Alligator mississippiensis: one gene and its partner. The main gene of each other region encodes a partner of the protein of the gene in region 2 in a complex. Links are inferred from orthologs where the notes say so. Each region holds a gene or a part of one and is shown on either strand. Other genes may lie near its edges.

Evidence for each region.
Region 1: SYNRG (region 2) and AFTPH share a complex: the UniProt entries of both Homo sapiens proteins name them as parts of the aftiphilin/p200/gamma-synergin complex. The link is inferred for Alligator mississippiensis from reciprocal best matches to the Homo sapiens genes SYNRG and AFTPH.

Annotation. Positions count from the first base shown.
Region 1 is NC_081824.1:214,442,173-214,452,247, reverse strand, and holds the start of AFTPH (aftiphilin), read right to left. Parts: upstream 4,628-10,075; 5' UTR 4,513-4,627; intron 1-4,512. Other genes in the region: uncharacterized protein LOC132246577, read left to right, coding at 5,554-5,673, 7,321-7,971. UniProt on the Homo sapiens protein: Component of clathrin-coated vesicles.
Region 2 is NC_081837.1:5,842,902-5,853,751, reverse strand, and holds the start of SYNRG (synergin gamma), read left to right. Parts: upstream 1-5,863; 5' UTR 5,864-5,885; coding exon 5,886-5,968; intron 5,969-10,219; coding exon 10,220-10,260; intron 10,261-10,850. UniProt on the Homo sapiens protein: Plays a role in endocytosis and/or membrane trafficking at the trans-Golgi network (TGN). May act by linking the adapter protein complex AP-1 to other proteins. Component of clathrin-coated vesicles.

The DNA of each region.
Region 1 (10,075 bases), on a different chromosome or scaffold from region 2:
TTAAGCAAATAAACATTATATTCAAGACACACAGAACAGGTAGGCAACAAATATCAAGCAAAAATACTTCAACTGGCCCAGAAAGAATAGATTTACATCATTTATCTTTTATCAGATGTTATCTACAGTTGATATATTAAGACCATTGTAGTGCTTGAAGAAATCCAGTACTTGAAAAAATGAACTCTATTTTCCATTGTGTTCTAATGGAAATGTGAACTTGAGGTATCACATTTCCTTTTCCAACTATGTGCTTCAGAACACACTCATGTGAATGGAGTCAATTGCTTTCCTTCTGTTACTTCAGAAGAGGAATTCTTCCATATAAGGGATCTACATTATTTGTTTCAAAGAATCATAAATAGAAGTGATTTATTAGGTCTCCTTGCAAACATCCTCACCAATAAAAAAAATGTTCTTCTGTGCCAATCCATACCTTTAATTTATTTATTTTTACTTTTAAAGAAAATTCTACTAGAAAAATGCCAATTTCAAAAAACAAAGATACTATCCAGGACCAGTATGAACAGTTTTGCCTTGAATATAGAAGGAAATACAGGCAGTTTTTTTTAAATATCCCCAAAAAATTCTCTCTTCTCAAGATTTTTTGAAAAAAAAAAAAATATTTTTAGAAAGCACCATTTTAAACAGGACAAAGATATTTTCTGTTTACGTTGATTTCAACACAGTGAAAAAGTATCGTTTTAAGTGGTCAAACAGGATGCAAAAAAGTAGTCATAGTACAAAAAATTGGATTTGGTAAAAAAAAAAAAAAAAAAAACAAACAAAAAAACCCCCACAAAACCTCCCCACTTATAGTTTATTCTTTTGACCATAACATGAAGAGCCAGATTTGGCATTAGTTTCTTTATTTTTAACCCACTAAAAAACCCTGTTTTTTCTAGCCCAGTAAAAGGTAGAAAGAACTTTATTTCAAGAGGGGGAGGGCAAGATTAAACTGCTATCTATCACCTGTCTGGTTTGGGAAAGGCACAAGTCTTTGGAAAAGAATAACAAACAAATAATAAAAACTCACACACATCCACAGGAATTAACTTGTCCAATGTAGATATTAAAAAAACTGGACACTAGCATATCAAGGAAGGAAAGCAACTGTTATGTTAAGATGGAAATATAAAGTTGTACTTTTGCTTTATTTAACAGAAAAAATTAAGTCTGAAAACTTCATTTTTTAAGTTTGCAACACATTAAAATGTATTAATTTAAGTGAAAGAATTAGTTACAGAAAATTTAGACATCACATATTTTATGTTTACACCAAGATCCTGCATATGCTTACTTAGAAGCATGAGTAAGACACCAGAACAGGTTACTGTGACCCTTCTTAAAGCCATTAGGTAGACGGCAGGGCAAGGTAGCGCCTTAAAGATGTAAGCATCTGACAAAACAGGCTGTCACTTATGAAAGCTTACACCGTTCTGAATCAGTTAGCCTTTATGTACACTACCCTATGTTGCCCTGCCTTCTACCTGATGTCAGATTGATATAGCTAACCACCCCTCTTGGAAAAAAAAATCTGCAAGAGGGAAAAAAAACATGGTGCCAAGAAGGGCTATACAGTTTCCTTATCTTTATTACTACACAAAAGCACGTGTTAAAAAGCAACATCAATTTACTAACATTTGGAACAGTCATAGACCCGAGCAGTTAAGACAATATGAATGACAGCAACTGCAGAGCCCTACTAGCACAGTCTGAGCAACTGCAAAGTGGGAAATGGAGAGCACAAAGTCTGTGAGTGACCATGCATGTGGTGTATTTCTATCTCCCTCCCCGTGTTTCTTTTTGAATGACACAGAAGAAAAGGAAATTTTGAAGTCCAGTAAACTACCAACTTCTAAATTCTATATGTATTAAATATAATCCAGTTGCAATGACAGCCTAGTCTGGAAGTTTGAGTATTGTGATATTTAGTAATTTTAGATACTGTCCCCTAAAAATAAAAGTTGCCTACTGCAGATTCAGACAACTATTTGATATATTACTAAATAAATACAAAAAGCAAACAAAAAAATACAAACCCACAAAAGCAACAGGTTTACTATTGGTTTTCAAGAATAGCATGTAAAACAGGTCATAACATTGAGTGGAGTTTATTTTTCCTATTAAAAGTATAGGAGTTTTGCCATACCTTTAGGACAATATACAAAACAGATACACAAAAAGAGAACTCCAATTGTCTATTACATTTTTCAGATCAATTTCATGTGCCAAGGAAACAACAAAAACAATATTATGTGTTTAACAGTCTCCTTATTGGACATTTAAGCTGAAAGTCTCTCTAGCCACAAGTGTTAAAATAGTTTCAATCTGCCTAAAGCTCTCACTTTCATTTAATTTAATTTCACGTACAGAAGAGAAGGTCTTTAAACAAAAAACAAACCAAAAAAACAAAAGCAACAGCCAAAGTCATATCCCTTCTTTCTTCCACCCATAATTGTGCGTTCTTTTAATTATATCTCTGGTTTCATATATAGAAGATATTACACTGAAGAATTATAAGGAGTTTTATTAACACCACATCCTACATACAGGTTTGTGTGCACTTGCAAACACACTCACAGTATAACCCAGCCTTTTCTCTGTTTTTTTTCCTAGAAGGCTAACTGGTTTCTGAGAGTCTAGTTCATAACAACAACATGTCTAGAGAATAAATGAAGAGGAAATAATTAGAATTAAAGGTCAATCACCAAGGACAATCCCAACAGCAATTTTTTAATCAATATTCCATAAATTCACTCTCTCATGAGCTCAACAGCTGAAACTTAATAGTAACCTGCCCTGTGTTTCAGTTTAAAACCAAAGGAGTAAAAACAACTTACATCAGCAATACAGTACAACCCCTGCAGTGAAGTTAGTCTAATAAACAACTCACTGACCAGGTCCCTTGTAACAGGAACCAGGTCTTGCAGTGCACCGAAATGAAATTGAAACTTTCAGAAGTGGAACAGGCAGGAAGGGCCCCCCCCCCCCCCCCCCGCCTGCAATCAACTACTTGTCTTCAGTTACCATGGCTTGTGTTCAGCTCTTTGGTCAGCGATCACCTCCACCAAGAAACCACATTCCGGTAGTCTTGGGAGAGGGCCACTTCCCAGAGTGGACTCGGGAGCCAGAATGGTGGCAATGATGATAAGAACAGCTATTGTGATGATCATAGAAAATGAGGGCTGGAACAGACCTCGGGAGGGCATCTAGCCCAAACCCCTGCTCAAAGCAGGACCGGCCCCAACTAGATCAGCAGTTCCCAATCTGCAGCACAGGTATCACCAGTGGTATGCAGACAACCTGCTAGTGGTACATGTTAACAGATTTAGTATAATTACTTTATGAGACAAAAATGTGCTGGTGATACTTAAGGTTGTATTGTTTTTAATTGGTGATGTTCAATCTGTCAGAGTTTGGGAACTGCTGGTCTAGATCAGCAGTTCTCAACCTTTTGCACCTCACGCTCAGGGCCATCCCTAAGGGGTGCGAATCGGGGTAACCACCCCGGGCCCCGTGCTTTGGGGGGCTCTGCGGAGATGGGCAGAGCGGCCGCAGCGAATCCATGCTGCTGCCAGCTTCACATCCGGCTGCTCAGCAGCCCCCTACCCCTGGCTCCACCGAATCTGCCGCGGGGTTCCTCGCATCCAGGGGCAGGGCCCCCACACAGGCCTATTAGCCCCGGACCCCGCACCCTTCTCGAGTTGTTTCTGCTTATGTCCCACCGACCATTGTGTTAAAAATCCCCGGTCCCACCATGATAAAAACAAAACCCCACTTTTCCCAAGAATTGTAGTTTTATGTTTACATACATTTTTGTATTATATTAATCATTCATGGAAATTTTCAAATTAGTTGAAGTCCCACCTACACAACCTTCGCGCCCCACTGGTTGAGCCATAGATAGCACTCTAGATCATCCCAGCCAAAGCTGTGTCTAGCTGGGTGTCGAAAACCTCCAAGGATGGAGACTCCACAACCTCTCTGGGTAATCTGAGTGCCTCACCACCCTCTTACTGAGAAAGTTTTTCTCTCGTATCCAACTTAAACCTCCCTTGCGGCAACTTGAGCCCGCTACTCCTTATTCTGCCATCTACCCCCACTGAGACCCCTCCAGCCCCAACGATGACAAGGGCGATGATGCCATTTGGGCAATAATAAAGATTAGATGATCACAGCGGCTGCAACGCCGACAGCCACCTGACATTGACACAATAAGCAAGGTCTCAGGTTAGGGCTCCCACACAGCAGCACTTGGCCCCTTTCCCCCACTGCTCTAGCCAAACAGCCCCCCGGGACTCGCAGCTGCCCTTCCCGCCGCCCGGAGGGGTCCCACACCGGAGCCAGGGAGCAAGGACCGAGACCAGGCCCCGCCGAGCCCCGCCCGGGGCGGGTCAAACGGAAGGGCCTCGCTAGGCCGGGCCGGGCCGGGCCGTGCCTGCCCTGCCCACAGACCCCGCGCCGGGCCGGGAGCAGCGCCCCCCGGCGGGTCAGGAGCAGAGCCCTCACCTGCGGGCTCCTGGCGGGGCGGCGGGGCCGGGCATGGCGGGGCCGGGCGGGGCCTGGCAGGCGGCCGCCGTCAGGGGGACGCCATGTCCGAGCCCCGGGCAACAGGAACCGCGTCGCTCAGCCCCGCCCCCTCCGGCCCGGCCCGCCCTGCCCCGCCACCCACGGAGCCCTTCTCCCAGCAGGCCGCGCGGTACCGCGTCACTTCCCGGGAAGCCCCCGGGGGAGCGTGGAGTGCCCACCATCTTGGAGGCGGGCAAGGTGGGGCAGAAGGGCTCGTTTGGCCGGTGAGACTCAGAGGGGTGAAGCCAGAGCGATGCCTGAGCGGCCATGTTGGAATAGGGCACTTAGCCTTCCCTTCCCCGCTTTCCTTGTGGGCGGAGAGAGCAGAGTGTGGGGCCTGGGCGGGCAGAGGCTTCCCCCACTTCCACCAGGGGAGAGGGAGGAGTACCTTACGGGTGCACCGCTCACACCGCACTCGCTAAAAGGAAGAACTTCTGTACTCTCTGAGCTCCCAAGGCCTGGAGCAGACTCCTCTCAGAGTTGGTGCAAGTACCTATTCTGGACACTTTTAAAAAACATTTGGATACTTATCTTGCTGGGATCATTTGACCCTCCCTGACTTCCTCCCCTTGGGCAGTGGGCTGGACCCGATGATCTTAGGAGGTCCCTTCCAGCCCTAATGTCTGTGAATCTGCAAATGTGCCATGCTGCAGCCACCCCAGCCCCATTAGTCCTGTCCCAGCTAGGCTCAAACTCCAGGGGGGCCCAAAATCAGGGGAGCCGTGTGCTTGGGGCGGGGAGGTTGTTTCTGTTTGCTGTGTGTCAGTGTTGGAGCCCCTTAGGGTCACATTTCTGAGCTTTTCTCTGGAAACTGCCAGGCTTGAAAGATCATTACTTTTAATCAGCAATCCTGGGACTCTGGGAGCTGGCACTTCATGAAATACCACATACCCAGAGGCATGGGGAGCAAGCACCTTGCCCAAGCTTGTAAAGGAAGGGAGCCAAGGCCCAGCCACTTGTTCATAGATTCATAGACTGTTCATGGCTAGAAGGGACCTCCAAAGATCACTGGGTCCAGCCCCCTGCACCAGGCAGGAAAGACAACTGGGATCAGGGGACTCCAGCAAGGTGCCCTCCAGTCTCCTCTTGAAAACTTCCCAGGTAGGTGATTGCACCACCTCTGGAGGGAGCTTATTCCACAGTCTGGACACCCTAGTAGTGAAGTAGGTTTTCCTAGTGTTAAGCCTGAATCAGTTTTCTAGGGTTTGTGACCATTACTCCTACTTTTCCCCAAGGGTGCTCTGGTGAACAGTTCACCAAGCCCTTGATGTACGCTTCTGATGTAGTGGTAAGCTGCTACCAAGTCCCCTCTCAGCCTTCTCTTTTTCAGGCTGAAGATTCCCAGATCCCTCAGCATTTCTTCATACGGCTTGCTGTGCAGAAAGGCTCACTCTCCCTTTCTCTGTGCTTACCAGCCTCAGTCACTCCAACCGCACAGGGTGTGGTGTCTATTGCAACGAAGGCACTACAATCGCTAGTGCTGACTGCTAGTTTAAAGCCAAATGTGTTGTGAGGGTGAACCTAGGGCAGGTGTTGGGGGAGAAGGATTGTGCTATGTGTGTCTTCTCCCAGTCTCACGCTGCATTTTTCCTGCAGAAAAAGTTACAGGGTTATAATAAAGGGGGTTCAGGAGTGGGGACCACAAGAATTAGAAGGGATGGGGAAAGACTTCTACAAAGAGTTTGAAAAGATTGAGAACATAAGGTATAATGGATGTGAATAGGAGGAGACAGTAAAAATACACAACATCATGAAGAGCAAAGAGAAAGTAATTTGGGATCTTCTCGTTACTTGTCTCATAACACAATAACAAAGGGGAAAATTCAAAACTGATCAAAGGAAATGCCTTTTTGCACTACTCATGGTTATCTTGTGGAATTCATTGCCCTCAGATATCACAAGAGATCAGGAGGTTATCAGGGTTCAGAAAGGACTGGAGATGTATATAGATAACAAAACCATGCAGTTATAAACCCTTGAGCATCAAAGCATGACTTTAGCCCCTGGCACTTCGGGGAACGTTGAAAATGAATTGGAGTAAGTTACTTTGCAACTCTTTTCTGCAGTTCTCTTGCCCCTTCCTCTGAAAAATCTGGTGGTGGCAACTGTTGGACATGTGCCAGGGATTAGATAGGCAACTGGGCTGATCCAGCAATTCTGTTCCTGTAATCCTCTCTTTATTTGGGGAAGGGATCCCAAAGTCAGTGTTTCACTCTCTACCTTGCCGCTTTGTCACCTCAGGGCAAAATGCTTAGGTCCCAGTTCTGCAAAGCACATAGTCCTATCTGACTGACTATCCTAACCAGGCAGAAGGCAGGGTAGAGATACACTTTATAGACAAACTAGAGAGCCCAAGCTTTTGTGAACTCGAGTTCACTTAATCAGATGCACAACTTGTGACAACACCCCTGGAGCTCAAGTCCAGTTTGGGACCTTTTTGACCATCTGAATTTTCTGGAGCTATCAGCCCTAGTGAGTAAATGGGCTATTAGAAATGGAAGAGAGAAGATTCAGCTTTCAAATTCTGCATGTAAAATGTGACACAGGGTCTGATCCATAGTTCTGGAAGAGGGAGGAGAACCGTACAAAGACTGGGTTTGGGAGTATGGCTGTGATTACACAAAGGTTCTGCTCCAGTTGGATAATCTTTGCTTTTTCCAGTTTGTGCTTTTATCATTTTATTTGTTTGTTGCTCAAAGGGGAATACCTAGGTTTTCCTGAAGAAGTGTATTGTATTATTTCACCCAGCAAGGACACTCCTCCAGAGAGGTAGATCGCACATTTGAAAGAGCCACCTGGATACCACATGAAGAACTGCTGCAGTACAGAAGAAAAACACCCACAAATCGCACACCGCTGGTTATGACCTATCACCCATCCCTTGAACCTATACGGAAAATCCTCAAAAAATTGCAACCCATATTAGAAAAAGACCCTATTCTTAAAAAAATCTTCCCAGAGCCACCCATCCTAGCCTTCAGACAAGCACCGAACCTCGCCAACCTCATCACCAGAAGCAAACTTCCTCAGCCCCAGAACACGCCAAAAGGATCCAGACCGTGCCATGACAAGAAAAGCAAAACCTGCCCCCACATCTCCACCACCTCCACTATTACTACACCCCACAACAGAGCCATCAGCATCCCAGGATCTTACAGCTGCACCTCCAGGAATGTAGTATACCTCATCCAATGCACCAAATGCCCTGATGGAAGATATGTAGGAGAGACCAGACAACAACTGCGCACCAGAATGAACGCACATCGGAAATCCATCAAAGACAGAAACACCCAATTACCTGTGGGGGCACATTTCTCACAGGAGGGCCACTCTCTCTCCAATCTCAGTCCTGATCCTCAAGGGAAATTTACACAACACTTCCCAGAGACGAGCCTATGAGCTCCATTTCATCAACCTGCTGGATACTAGAGATCAGGGACTAAACATAGACACTGGATTTTTGATATATTACAATCCGCCTGGCAACTGACTCCCCAGCCCAGCCCAGCCCCTGGCTTGTTTACTTTTCATTCCATCCAGGAAGAGCACGCAGCAAGTGCTGCAGCGTCCTTAGCCTGACGAAGGGTTTTTGAACCCGAAAGCTTGCTTAATAACTATTCTCCAACCATTTGGGTTGGTCTAATAAAAGATATCAAATTCACCCAAGGAACCTTGTCTGCCTGTATTGTAAGGAAGAATTTAAAGAAGAAAGAACAAAGGGTTGGGTCCAAGAGAGTATTCAAGGCATGCTCAATTTTTAAAACTTGTAATCACTCTGTTGTACAGAGAGAGACAGACAGAGAGAGAGAGAGAGAGTGAGAAACAACCCTTGGAAATTAGTCAAAACAGTAATATATGACAGAACACTGAGAACAAAACAGTAATAATCACAGCAGAAAATAGCACTAAAAATATAATATATTTGGATATTCTATATTGCAAATCCATATGCAGTATTAGTAAATAGTCCCTTAGCTTAAAGTAGTTGAAGTTATTTAGAGAAGCATATCTGGAATCAGAGCCAAATCCTCTGTACTCTAACTTCTTTGGCTTCACGAAACTGACTCTCTATAACACAATACAGTACAAAACAAATGATAAGACCAAGAGAGAGATTAGGGCCTAGTTCCTGCAAATACTTAAGCACGTGCTTAACTGTAAGATCTTAGATGGATAATGTTAAAATGTGTTTAAGACTTGGATCCTGTATACATAATATAAGTGTTAAAATAATTCGCAAATAATGTTTATTAAGCATGAACTATGCTAAATCATTGTAAAGCTTTGGGAAAATATATTCTAAATTTCAATTAGCTTAGGAATGTTTCTGCAGCTGAGGCTATAACACGAGAAATTAGTTATTATATTGCTCTATTACTATTATATTTTGCCCCCTGGTGGCTGTTCCACTTTCTTCAAACAGAGGTCTCATACTGTAAGAAGTCCCTGTTGACCTGAAAGGAAGTAAAAGGAAGTTGGGGGGGAGGTAAGGGTGGAGAACAGGAAACAGAATAATGTAACACTTAAAGATATACTATCTTGACCATTGTAGACTGTTCTGTTTGGATATGAAGGGGCGGGGGGGGGGGTGAATCTCTGAAAACAGGAAAATACAAAGCATTGTAAAAAAGAAATAAGCAGTCCATCTCAATATCCACTGAAGACTTAAAGACCACATATACTGGTTTTCATAATACAATACTGTACTATGCAGTAATATCTTATCATTTCTGACTCCAGCTATGATCAGTTTTTGTCTCTTATATCATCCTGCCCAGCTACACCTGGCTCCCTCTGGAAAGTCCTCTCTGATGGATCAGGTATCTGAAAAGATATGTTCATCTCCCTGGCTGTGAAGGCTGTGTGGACAGTTCAGGTCATCAGTTCGGGTGCTGTAGGACCTAATGGCCATCTACCTCATCCGGACTTGTCTCCAGACGTCTTGAGACTGTTGTGCCAATAGATTCAGAGAGACCTGGATGAGAGAGTGAGGGTGACTCTGTGCAACTTTCCCTCACTTAAATCCAACTCATGTGCAAGCCATGACATCATCTATATCCCCCCATAGATACACTCAAGTCCTATGGTGATGGGCGAGCAGCAAAACAGCAGGTGTGAATACACTGGGAGCTGTAAATGCAAACCTGCACACAGGCAGCTCAGGGTATAGGGTCACTTTTCGCTGGACCAAAGGAGCAGTGGAATTTGGCACCTCCCTGGGTGACTGAGCAGCCCTATTTAGGATCACACTGATCACCTCTGTAGCATGAGAAAAAGGCTAGAAAAGGTGCCCTAAACATTGTCAACTTCACCTTAACTCTGGTCAGCATAAGGTGCTCACTATAGTTGTCAAAAATCACGCACAAAGACAAAAAGGACAAAGGTGACACCACACGCCATTGTTTCTTGGGATGTGCACACACTAATGGACTGTACAAACAGCAGATAGACCAGACAGAAGAGGACGGACATTTTGTATAAAGACCTTTTTGCTGTTTCGCAT
Region 2 (10,850 bases):
CTTGCAGTGAGACACCCCAGGCTTCTAAGGAATGGTTCACAAATAGCATCTGTTTTGCTTAAAGTTCAGTATCACTTTTTGGAATAGCTGAGATATACAACTGGCCCATGAGTATCTTCTGAAGTCGGGATGAAAAGTGTTTACATATGCAAGATCTGAGAATGCACAGGTTTTTATTATAGTGCTGAGCTAGTCCAGCTGTTCTTAAAGACTGTTCTATTCCTTTTCTGTGATTTTTTTTTAATTTGTTTTGTTGTTTTTTTTTAAGATCTACCCCTGCAACTAGATTCTTTTTGCTGTATAAATCAATTTGAATAATTAATTCATGACTTCATTTTCAGCAAGAATGGGACATAGAAGTATTTTGGGTTTTTCATATAAAATGCATCAAAAGTTAGTAAAATCTTATTATGGGGTTAAAGGTAAACCTCAAAGCAAAATAAACTGAGGAAAATTCTAAGACCAGAGATTCTTCAGTCTCTTGTATTTCTTGGAGGACTGCTTTCCAGTTGCTGTGTCTATGCTTGTGCTATGCATAAGGAACACATTCCACACTTTTTATTGTTTCTTCACTTCTTAAACCCACTCTGTTTGGACATAGCTTCCTTAACAGATAATTTTAACAATGCAAGGGCAACTTCTCTTCTCCAAGGATAATCTTTTTCTAAGTGGCTGTTCCTGTTGCTTGGTACCCATTTTGAAATGTGTGCTCATTGAGTCCCACTTCCTCAAGACTTGGTTACCTTCAGTCCATTTTGCAAATGGATCCCAGTTTTACATAAATCATTCACTACAGGCTGCTCTCGGTGTTTCTGTTCTGTTGAAGGCTGTAGAGACATTTTCTAAGTTTGCCTTACTTTACAAAAATAAAACTGATCCAGGATCACTTCAGATATCTGATTATTCTTAAGTTATTTGGCAAGGTTGCTTTACTAGGTTTGTGAAAATGATGCATTTAATTAGGATTATGTAGAGAAGTGTCATATTCTGAAATCTTATTAAAATAAGAATTTGTGTATGCAGTTCTCGCTCAAATTGCTCAGTACTATGAGAAAAAATGCATTAGCGTTCCTTCCTGCTACATTTCAAGTCCTTGCTGCAATTGTGGAGAATCTTGAGTTCTCAAACACCAGCTGGAAGACTATAATGGAAACATTTAACAGTTTTAAATGCAGGGCTTACCACTGCTTCCCTCATAGCAATAACAAGCTGTAACTGTCAGTGTGCTAATTAATATGCAGTGTGCTGTATAATAGGCGTGTGACCAGGAGGAAACGATTAGCTCGCCAATTTTAAATTCTTAGCCTTGCAAACTGTGTCAATAAATTAATGTCTGCAAAGAGCAGACTGTACATTAGTTTTTAAGGACTTAGGTGCAAGATCCATCTAGCTGGAGAACTGCCTAGAACTCAGTTGAGCTACTGTAGTAGGAATGTGAGGCCTAACTCGGATTTCTGAAAGCCCAGATAATTAACTGCTATCACTGGACCACTGAGCAACATAAAGCAGCAGTACCCGTCAGAAGGAACCGTTGTATTAAATGCTGCTAGATATCATACAAAACTTCTTAAACTTGGCAGATGGCAAACAGCATATAGAAACTCTCCAGAATGTCCATGTTTCTTAATATGCCTTAGCTGGCTCTTTGCTGGTGTCATTGAGAGAGAGACAAGCTGCTCTGCTGCAGCTGCATCATTAGCTAGCAGCTCACAATCCACCTAATCACAAGGAGTGCTTTTGCATGATGATGATTAGGATTTTGTGGGCTGGCAATTAGTGTAAAGGTGATGCTCTGGTACCTCTGGAAGTGGGATAAATAGCAAATTGGCAGAATCATAAGGGAGATTAATTTTGCAGTCGTATGCTACATTGTATAAGGACTGTTGCTTTTCCTGTTATGGGAGGGGATGGTGTCTAGATTACAGCAGGATCCCAGTTGAACATCCCCTGTAGTAGCTGCAGTTCCTAGAAGCACACAGATAGTCTGGGAAATGGTATAGGTGGTGTCTGGTTAACAAACTTTACCCCTCGTGCTGTCATTTCCTGAAATGAAAAAAGATTCCCCATGTTTTTAACTAATAAAGTTGTGTCCTAGAGCTTCAAGCAACCAAGAGAACAGCTAGCCTTGATATGGCTACCAGGATATAAAACATTTCCCTTTATGTGTTGCCATTTGAAATCTAGATGGGATCAAAAGTGGTTCTTTCTGGTCTACTTAGTAAGCTCACAGTTGCAACCAGTTCTTAGTTGGACAGCTGTATACATCGCCAAAAAACCTCAAACCTGTAACTGCTTTTCTCCCAACAGAGGTTGAGGATTGTACTGGCTACTACTACCAAACTGGTTTCTCCAGATCAGAGATGAAAGAAAGATATTTGTTTTCCCACATGAAAGGAGCGTTCGTTTCGCTGATGCGAAGAGGACAGGACTCCGAATGGAAACAAGCTTTATCTCAAGCTTTTGCTTATAGCTTTAGGCTTCTGACATCTGCAATACTGTACTTTTAAAATAAGTTGTAGATCTCTGGAGGAAATGTGGTACTTGAAAGGTCGGACTCAATAAATGTCAAAGGATTAACATGAAGGAGCCACGAAGAAAAAAACTATGAAACTAGCAACGTGTTCAAGTCTCTGATGGAGCAAAATGATTGTTTTTGGAGCTTAGAATAAATGTCTGATAGTGTGAATGGAAAGTTTTATTTGAATGCCTTTTTCAGAGTCTCTTAGGAACTGTTCAATAGGCAGAGTACAGTAATAAGTAACTGTTGCAACAAATTTCCATTTTTTCCATCTTGCAGCGCTGATGCTGTACTAAACTAGGGCCGTAGGTTTGCCCTAGAAAGCACGCAGGTATTTTAGACAGATTGCTTCAATTTGGTGCTTTCCCGAGACCCTTGGGAAATTTTGTTGGCTTGCACTATAACAAACCAAATGACAATCTACTTTCTCAACATAGGTTTTTTTTCTTCACTCATTGTTCTTAGAGGACCTGAGAACCTGAGGAAAAGTGAGATATCTATATCCTTTATTTATTTATTTTTTTAGAGGATTTTTGCCTAAATGCAAGTTAATATTTTTCAAGTGTGAGAATATGTGTTAAAAAATGTAGTTAAGTAGCCAAGATTTTATGGTAAGAGACGTCCTCTTTAGCATATTTATTCCAAAAGTAGTACACCAGACTGTTTACTGAATGCTGTGATGAATCACAGAAAGCTTGAAAAAGGCTTTTGGTTCTTACTCTTGTATGTCTCTGCCACCTGTGGCATAGGATTTCAAAGCACTTTACATATGCTAGTTTTAACAGCTATAGAGAATAGGCAGGCATGGACTTTTTATAGGATAAACTGAAGTAGTTGGGACTGTAACATGGTTATAATTCAGTGAAACAGAACCCAGCTCTTCTGCATCCTTTTGAATTTCCCACTCTCCTATTCTAATGAAGATTGCTTGTTCCATATTTAACATTTTTTAAATACAATTTGCTATTTGTAAACCCCTACATCTGCTGGTCTCCATTTTAAATCAAGGGGTAGGACCAGCAATCTGTAAACTGACATCACGTCAGATACTGTTATCTGTATGCGTCGGACAGCTTGAATGTATGAAACAGAGTGAGAAGCATGATTTGATAGTCAACCTTTGCCCTTTCTTCTAAAAGGCTTTGACTAATTGTTATACTCAATTCCAAGAGGGCCATGCTCACAAAGGTTAGTGTGGGCAAATGTCCAGTGTATAACTTTACCAGGGCGTCGTGTTATTAACCTCTAGAATATATGGTTAGTCCCATCTTGTGCCTACGCCTCTAGGCTTTGCAAATGTATATCTGAAACCTGACCTGCACCAGCTCCTACCATCCCAACATCAGCTGTTTAGAGCAACACTTAACAGTTGCGCTTTACAGCCCTAATCCTGAACCACTCTAGCACACCTAACGTTATAATGGCTGTAACTTTAGTCTATGAATATTTGAGTCTGTGCCCACATTAATGGGTCATAGACTACCTATCCTCCCCGTAAATTGTGTATGTTTGATCATCTGTAATATACAAATATATTTTAAAATATAGTTCATTTTATATGGCCATTCTTAGATTCATCACGAGCTGTAAAAAGTTATGCTCGGGTTTCTGTTCGGTATATGCATGCTTCTGACCAAGTTGGCATGGTGGCTTCCATACAGCGTATGAACAAGGGAAAAACTCAATTATGGATGAGTGCCAAGGGTTTGGAGTAGGTGTCTTAGTTCAGATTATAGAAACGTGGACATAGGCCTCCAATGCTTTGACCTAACTTTATACATACACACACAACTGTTTCATATAAGACACTACACACCTCTCCCCTGTTCTAAATGAAAAATATATTTCTAGGTATTATGAGTAGATCACAGTGATCTACAGTTTTGGGGCTAGGGGGTGTCTTCCTTCTGCCACGTGGTCCCTCTCCACTTCAGGGGTATTATCCACGTCAGGGCAGCCGTGGGGGAATCAACCGTGAGCAGCCAGGTTGGCAGTGCCCTGTGCAAGATCTGAAGTCTGAACTAGTCAGAGCTGCTCCGGAAACATCTCTTTTTTCATAGGAGTAGCATTGCTGATGTACTATGAATCCCAGTAGGCTGCAGCTTGGGTTTCCATTCAATGCCGACAGAATATGGTTTTCATGCTTGTACATGTGTATATGTCATATTTGGGAGGTAAATCAGACACTTTCTTAGGCCGTGGTTAAATCAGGCACCTCTCTTCCTAGCCAGCCCTCCCCTGTGGTTTATGTGGAGTCATGGTGGTACACAGCCATGGTGGTAGAGGCTTGGCTGGTGGGAGTGCTCCTGGTTTCCACACAGTGATGGATGCTGCAATGCTGTCTGTGGGTCTTGTGAAAGACCAAACGGGGACGCTTTCACCTGGCGATCCTCAACTGGGGTGCCACGAGACCCTCCCGGGGGGGGCTACAAAAAGCCCTCTCGGTTGGGTTTTTTGCGGGCCTCTCAGCTAGACCTTTGGAAGACTTCTTGGGTCCTGACGACCACGTCTTGAGTCGAAACGTCGTAACTCGGAACCGATTTCCCCATAGGAAACAACGTTATAAATGGGGGATCGGTTCCCGATACCCAATTTTCACCAAAAATAACCCAGCGTTTTGTAACTCAATTGATTACAGATGAGCAATACAGCTACATTAACATATTTATATTGTAAAATATTGATTTGGAAGGGCTTCTTTGAGGTGACTTTGCCGGACTTTTTGACGGCCTCTCTGTTGGGCCTTTTGAAGACTTCTTGGTTGGGCTTTTTGAAGGCCTCTCGGACCTTTTGAAGGCCTCTCGGTTGGCCGTTTTGAGGACTTCTCGGACCTTTTGAAGACCTCTCGGTTGGCCGTTTTGAAGACTTCTCGGACCTTTTGAAGACCTCTCGGTTGGCCGTTTTGAAGACTTCTCGGACCTTTTGAAGGCCTCTCGGTTGGCCGTTTTGAAGACTTCTCGGACCTTTTGAAGGCCTCTTGATTGGGCCTTTTGAAGACTTCTTGGTTGGCCGTTCTGAAGGCCTCTTGGACCTTTAGAAGGCCTCTCGGTTGGCCCTTTTGAAGACTTCTCGGACCTTTGGAAGGCCTGTTGGGTTTCCTGCAGGCCTCTTGTCCGGCCCCTTCCCAGGTGTCTGGTCTGTGGGTCCCATCCCTTCTCCTTCAGGAAAGCGTGGGGGAAGTTGGGAGGGGCGCTCTGGCACCGAGTGGCGGTGGCCAGGTGGGGGCGCTGTGGGGCGGGGCCCGTGCGCATGCGCGTGGGCGGGGCGGGGCGGTGGCCGGGCGGAGGCCCCGCCCCGCGGGAGGCGGCGCCGGATGAGGCGGCGGCGCGGCGCTGACAGGCGCTGCGGGGCGGCGCGAGCGGGCAAGATGGCGCTGCGGCCCGGGCCCGGCTCGGGGGGCGCTGCCGCCGGCGGGGCCGGGGCTGGGGCCGGGAACGCGGCCGCCGCCAGGTAGGCGCACACCGCGTCCGCTGAGGGGAAGAGGGAGGCGGGCAGCCCTCGGCTCCCCTCGCCTGGGCGGCGGGGAGAGCCGGGGCTCGCGGCGGGGCAGCGGATGCTTCCCCTCAGGCCCCGGCTGCGAGTTGCCGGAGCGCTCCCTTGACAGGCCTGGGTGCCGGCGTGAATCCCCAGGAAGGCCTGGGTGCGTCCCTGGAAAGCCCAGTGCGCGCTCCCGGCAAGGCCGAGAGACCGCGGCAGGTGTCCCCTCATCCCACTGGGTCCCCGCGTCTCATCCCATTTTAACATCCCGACGGCGGGGAATCCTCGGGGTCTCGCGGCCTCCGGCTCCGGTCGAGCCGCGTGCCCCGGCGCGGTCGAGGACGTGGAGGCGGTCATTTGGGCGCGGGGGGACTTCAGGATAATTAATGTATGTCTGTCCGTCTGTCTGTCTGTCTGTCTGTCTGTCTGTCGGCGCCATGTCGCGGCGGCGAGGACGCTCCGTGGCGGGGATTTGCCGCTGAGCGGTGCGGTCTGGCAGTCGCGCTCCTACGGTCAAAGTCGGCGATTTGCTGAGAAACTCGCGTAGGATAGCGTTGGTTTTCACCCGCCCGGCGTGCATGGCGGCGGCGGCGGCGGCTCTTCTTTGCGCGTGCGATTGCTAGCATGCCCGGCGTCCCGCTGCTCGGGAGAGAATAAGCACGTTGAATATCGGCGTCGCGTCCTCGGCAGCACGAGCGGCCGGCGATATGGACGAGGCGGATGGATGTCGGTGTAGAAATATCTACAAATAAATGACGTTTTCTTTTGTAGAACAAGGGGAAATACAACGCTCTTCTGCGATGATCGTATATAAAGCGGAGCTGCGGGCCGTTATATTGCGTCGATCGCACGTGCTGCTTTTAGACGTTGATTTTCCGCTACTTTTAACTCCCCTTTAGTCTTAAGCCCGCACAGCGGGCGTTGCAGACTACTAATTACAGCACGCAACTCCTGGAAATTAGGCAGCTCCATATTTTACCTGGTTTTCCCGTGTTACAAAGTACCTGGTTTGTTCAGCACGTAATTCTCTTGTCAGCTGAAAAAGTTGTGTTATCGGGTATAACATCTTATTTAGGAATCGGCTCCGTTCGCATCAGTAAATTGTCATTTGTTTTTATAAATGAATTCTAGTACAGTTAATTGCAGGGGTTTAGGTTGTAGCTGTGTTGGTCTAAGGATATAGGCAGACAAGGTTCCTTGGGTGAATTTGATATCTTTTATTAGACCAACAGTTAATTATTGCTGTTAAAAAAAATTGTGCCCACTGTTGAGGAAGAAAATTGAGTTCTTTTGATAAAAGGGAATAACTCTGAATCTGCTTTTAATTGGATGTGTATACCCATTTTTTTTCTCCTCTGTGTTTGTACGTCATTGAAAAGACGCTTATTTTTTTCTGTCCCAGAATTCCTGATGTAGTTTTCGGTTTCTTGTACAGCCTAGAAGTAGACAAACGCATGCTAAATCTTTGACTCTACAAGGTGCACAGTGCAGCCTAAACACACAGAGAGAATATTTTATTAGAGAAACCAACTTTGTCACACTTAACCAGCTCTTACAGTTGGCTTCTAATTAGCTTCAGTTTTTTAGGATGCTTATAAATAAATCACCACTTCTCTAGAAAGGAATGAATATTTAATCAATTGTTCTTTATTTGCTTCCAGCATGCAATGGTACCTCTCTGCGCTTGTTCAGATTACATTACATTTCAGTGAAACTAGAAGAGATCCTTATTTCTGTCACCAGAATTTCTGCCAAGAAGAAACAGGAAGTCATTTAAAATAACTGAGGACACTTTGATAGAAGCACTCCCTGTCCAAATAAAAAGAGAGCTGAAAATGCTTTTTTCCCCTCAAATAAAATTTTCTCTCATTATTCATAAAGTAACATATGTTCGCTTGTAAGGATGAGGCTTGTAAATGCTGCAGGTTTCAAGTGAATAATTTGTTTGGAGCAAGGTGCTAGTTGCCAGTCTGATTGTTCTTACAGAAATGCACATAATGGAACTACTTTTAGTCGCATACGTTTTATATATTCTGGGAAGAAGTGCTGTTTTGGCAACCTTTGGGACAGAAATCCTCTACCTATAGCAGGGGTGTAAAAGATACGGCCTGTGCACTGGTTCCAGCCTGCGGAGCCCAGTCATTTGGCTTGCAGTGCTGTCTGGGTCTTGTCTCGGCACCATGCACACAGCACGTGCTGGCCCAGGCCCAGTACAGTGCATGTGGTTGGAGCTGGCACAGGGTCAGTCTGGGGCACCCCCTGCATGCAGTGCCCATGCTGGACTGGACCCTCATACTAAATCTAGTCCAGATTGGACCCACAGACTGGCAAAACTTGCTGGATTGAGTGCACATGGCTGGTCTGGCATTGGCGCCACATGTAGCGCACACTCCAGACTGGCCCTATATGCGGTGTGTAATGTGAGTCCTAGAATAGCCCTGTGTGTTGCATGCTTCACTGGGCCAGTGCAGGTTGGATGTGGTGCATAGGGGTAGAGCTGGCACGTGTGCCCTCCCACGGGATGAGTTTGACACCCCTGATCTGTAGGTGGAATCCAGTTAATTCACTCTGTCCTGTCAATACGCCTCAAACATAGTGCAGAAGGAACCCTCTCTTGCAGCAAAAGAGGAATTAAATCATTTGGCCCTTCTGCTTAATCTTTAGACGAGATTGCCTGTTTAAAGCAGGGCTGTATGTGTTGTCAGTATCCATCTGTTGAGGCCTGGACTGAAGCTACCAAAGTTGTTTCATGTGCACTGGCCTACTCAAATAAACCGATAAGCTTTTGGGCACAGGAGATCGGGGCTGGATTCCCTTTGAACAGTCCAGTCCCAATGCATATTTCTACGTTAGGTAGATTGTATCTTTGAAACAGACCCTCAGCAGGACTGTGGGAGATGTGTCGGGTAACAGAAAACCTGCAGACTGGTACTGAAGTAAACTGGTAATGTCTGTTTTGGGTAGGATGCAGGTATGCATTTCAGATTTGTGAAAGGTGAAGGCAAATTGTAACTTGATGGTTAGGCAGAACAAAGATTGGAGGGGCTAAGTGGATCCTGGGTTCAAATCAGAAAGGAGGTTGTCTGGAGGAAAACATGCAGTGTTTATCTGGGATTGAATTCTTCACTTATACACACAGGCTGCATAGTAAGAGGACTGGGTACAGCCATGAATCCAGCTTCCTTAGGTTCTCATAGGAGAATGGTTTTCTGATCAGTGCAGGTTTCTTTGCATGAGAAGGAGTTCATTCTCATGCCATTTTTCTCTTTGCTTTGTTTTTTTAGTTTGTCAGGTGACCTCTTGCTCACCCTGTCTCGAGTTGAGAGATGTTGAATGTCTACACACTTCTTTGTCTTTGCATAGTGTTTTGATGCAAGAGGTTGATGGAGCACTGAAAGAAATTCTTGGTTGGTAAATTATTGCTGACATCTGTCTGGGAATTGCTTACAAGCAGTATCCCTAAACTAGGTTTTCTTTTTTTCTGTTGGGCAAAGCTAATTTTCTGCTTCAAAGTGGGGATGTTGGTATTATCATTTCAGTTGAATTTTGAATATGTTTTTATCTTGCTGCTTTTGGTGATTTTTGTCCCCATCCCCCATTTATTTTTTTTCTTTTAACTGGATACAATGGAAAATTAAACACAAACTAGTGCATTGTCTATTTCCTCCTGTCTTTTACTACTTCGTATTTAAGAGGAAAAACATAAGGCAAGTGTATAGTATTTCTTGGGTAGTTTCTTTCTCTGCAGAAAAAGTGTTATAAAGTAGTTAATGATTCTGCTGAATCAGATTTATCCAGCAGGGGATGTTTTATTACTTTTACAGTTCTTAAAGGCCTTGCCTGTACCAAGAAATTCGCCCACGGTTGACCCAACACAAAATGATGCTGAAAACATTCCCATTGGTCATGTAGATGCCTCAAAACCATTTTGGTCCTCCTGTGGAGCTATCTTCAGGATTAAGTCAGGAGAATCCTTTCTGACGCCCATCAGTAGCAATTGTCCATGTCGTTGTATAGGAGGAGGCCACCCTGGTTGATTTTAATTTGCTGCAATTTGTATGGACTTTATCAGCCAGGTGAATGGCACAGTTTGTGTTATGTACCACAGCAGGAACTGATGACGTGGCACAGCTTTTGTATTCCTTATATTTGGATAATTGCTCAAATACAGTATTGAATTATGAAGTTGTTGACTCATGCGTGTTCTTTTGGTTTCTTTTCCAGCTTCATGTTCCCTGTAGCAGGCAGCATTGGCCCTCCTCAAGGTATGAATCAACTTCAGATGGTGGACACCTCTGTGCCCTTTTCTGTGCATGAAAGTTAATGTTAAACATCTTTTATCACATGTACAGTAATTTAGTGTTTGCTTTTGAACCATAATATTGTGAAGAATAAGCCTGCCTGCTGGTTACATTTTTCTACCTTTATCCCTGTTCAATAGTACTGCTAAGCTGAATCATATATCTTTGTTTGCAGTTTTCCCATTTAACTTATTGGATTTTATGGGGGCGGGGGATGTTCCAGTAGGTTGGAGCAAGGCTGTGGAGTCCTGAATCTGTCACTGAGTCTGCTTTCTCCTTGTTCTGGATTTAAATATATCAGTTGGTATACCTGTATTGTAGGTGTTGCAAGGGTGTGAGATCCTTGGATAAAAAGCATAACATAAATACAAAATATTAATAAGACACCTAAGACTTGACCTTAATCTGCTTTTGTCTCATTTTTTATTCCATACTACTGTATTTAAATAATTACAAGTGAAGGAGGGCTAGAGAAACTTTTATAAGAAAATTCCATTTGCTAAACACTGATTAACTTCAGAATGGCAAGCTGAAGTTTTACTGGTGTTTCCAGA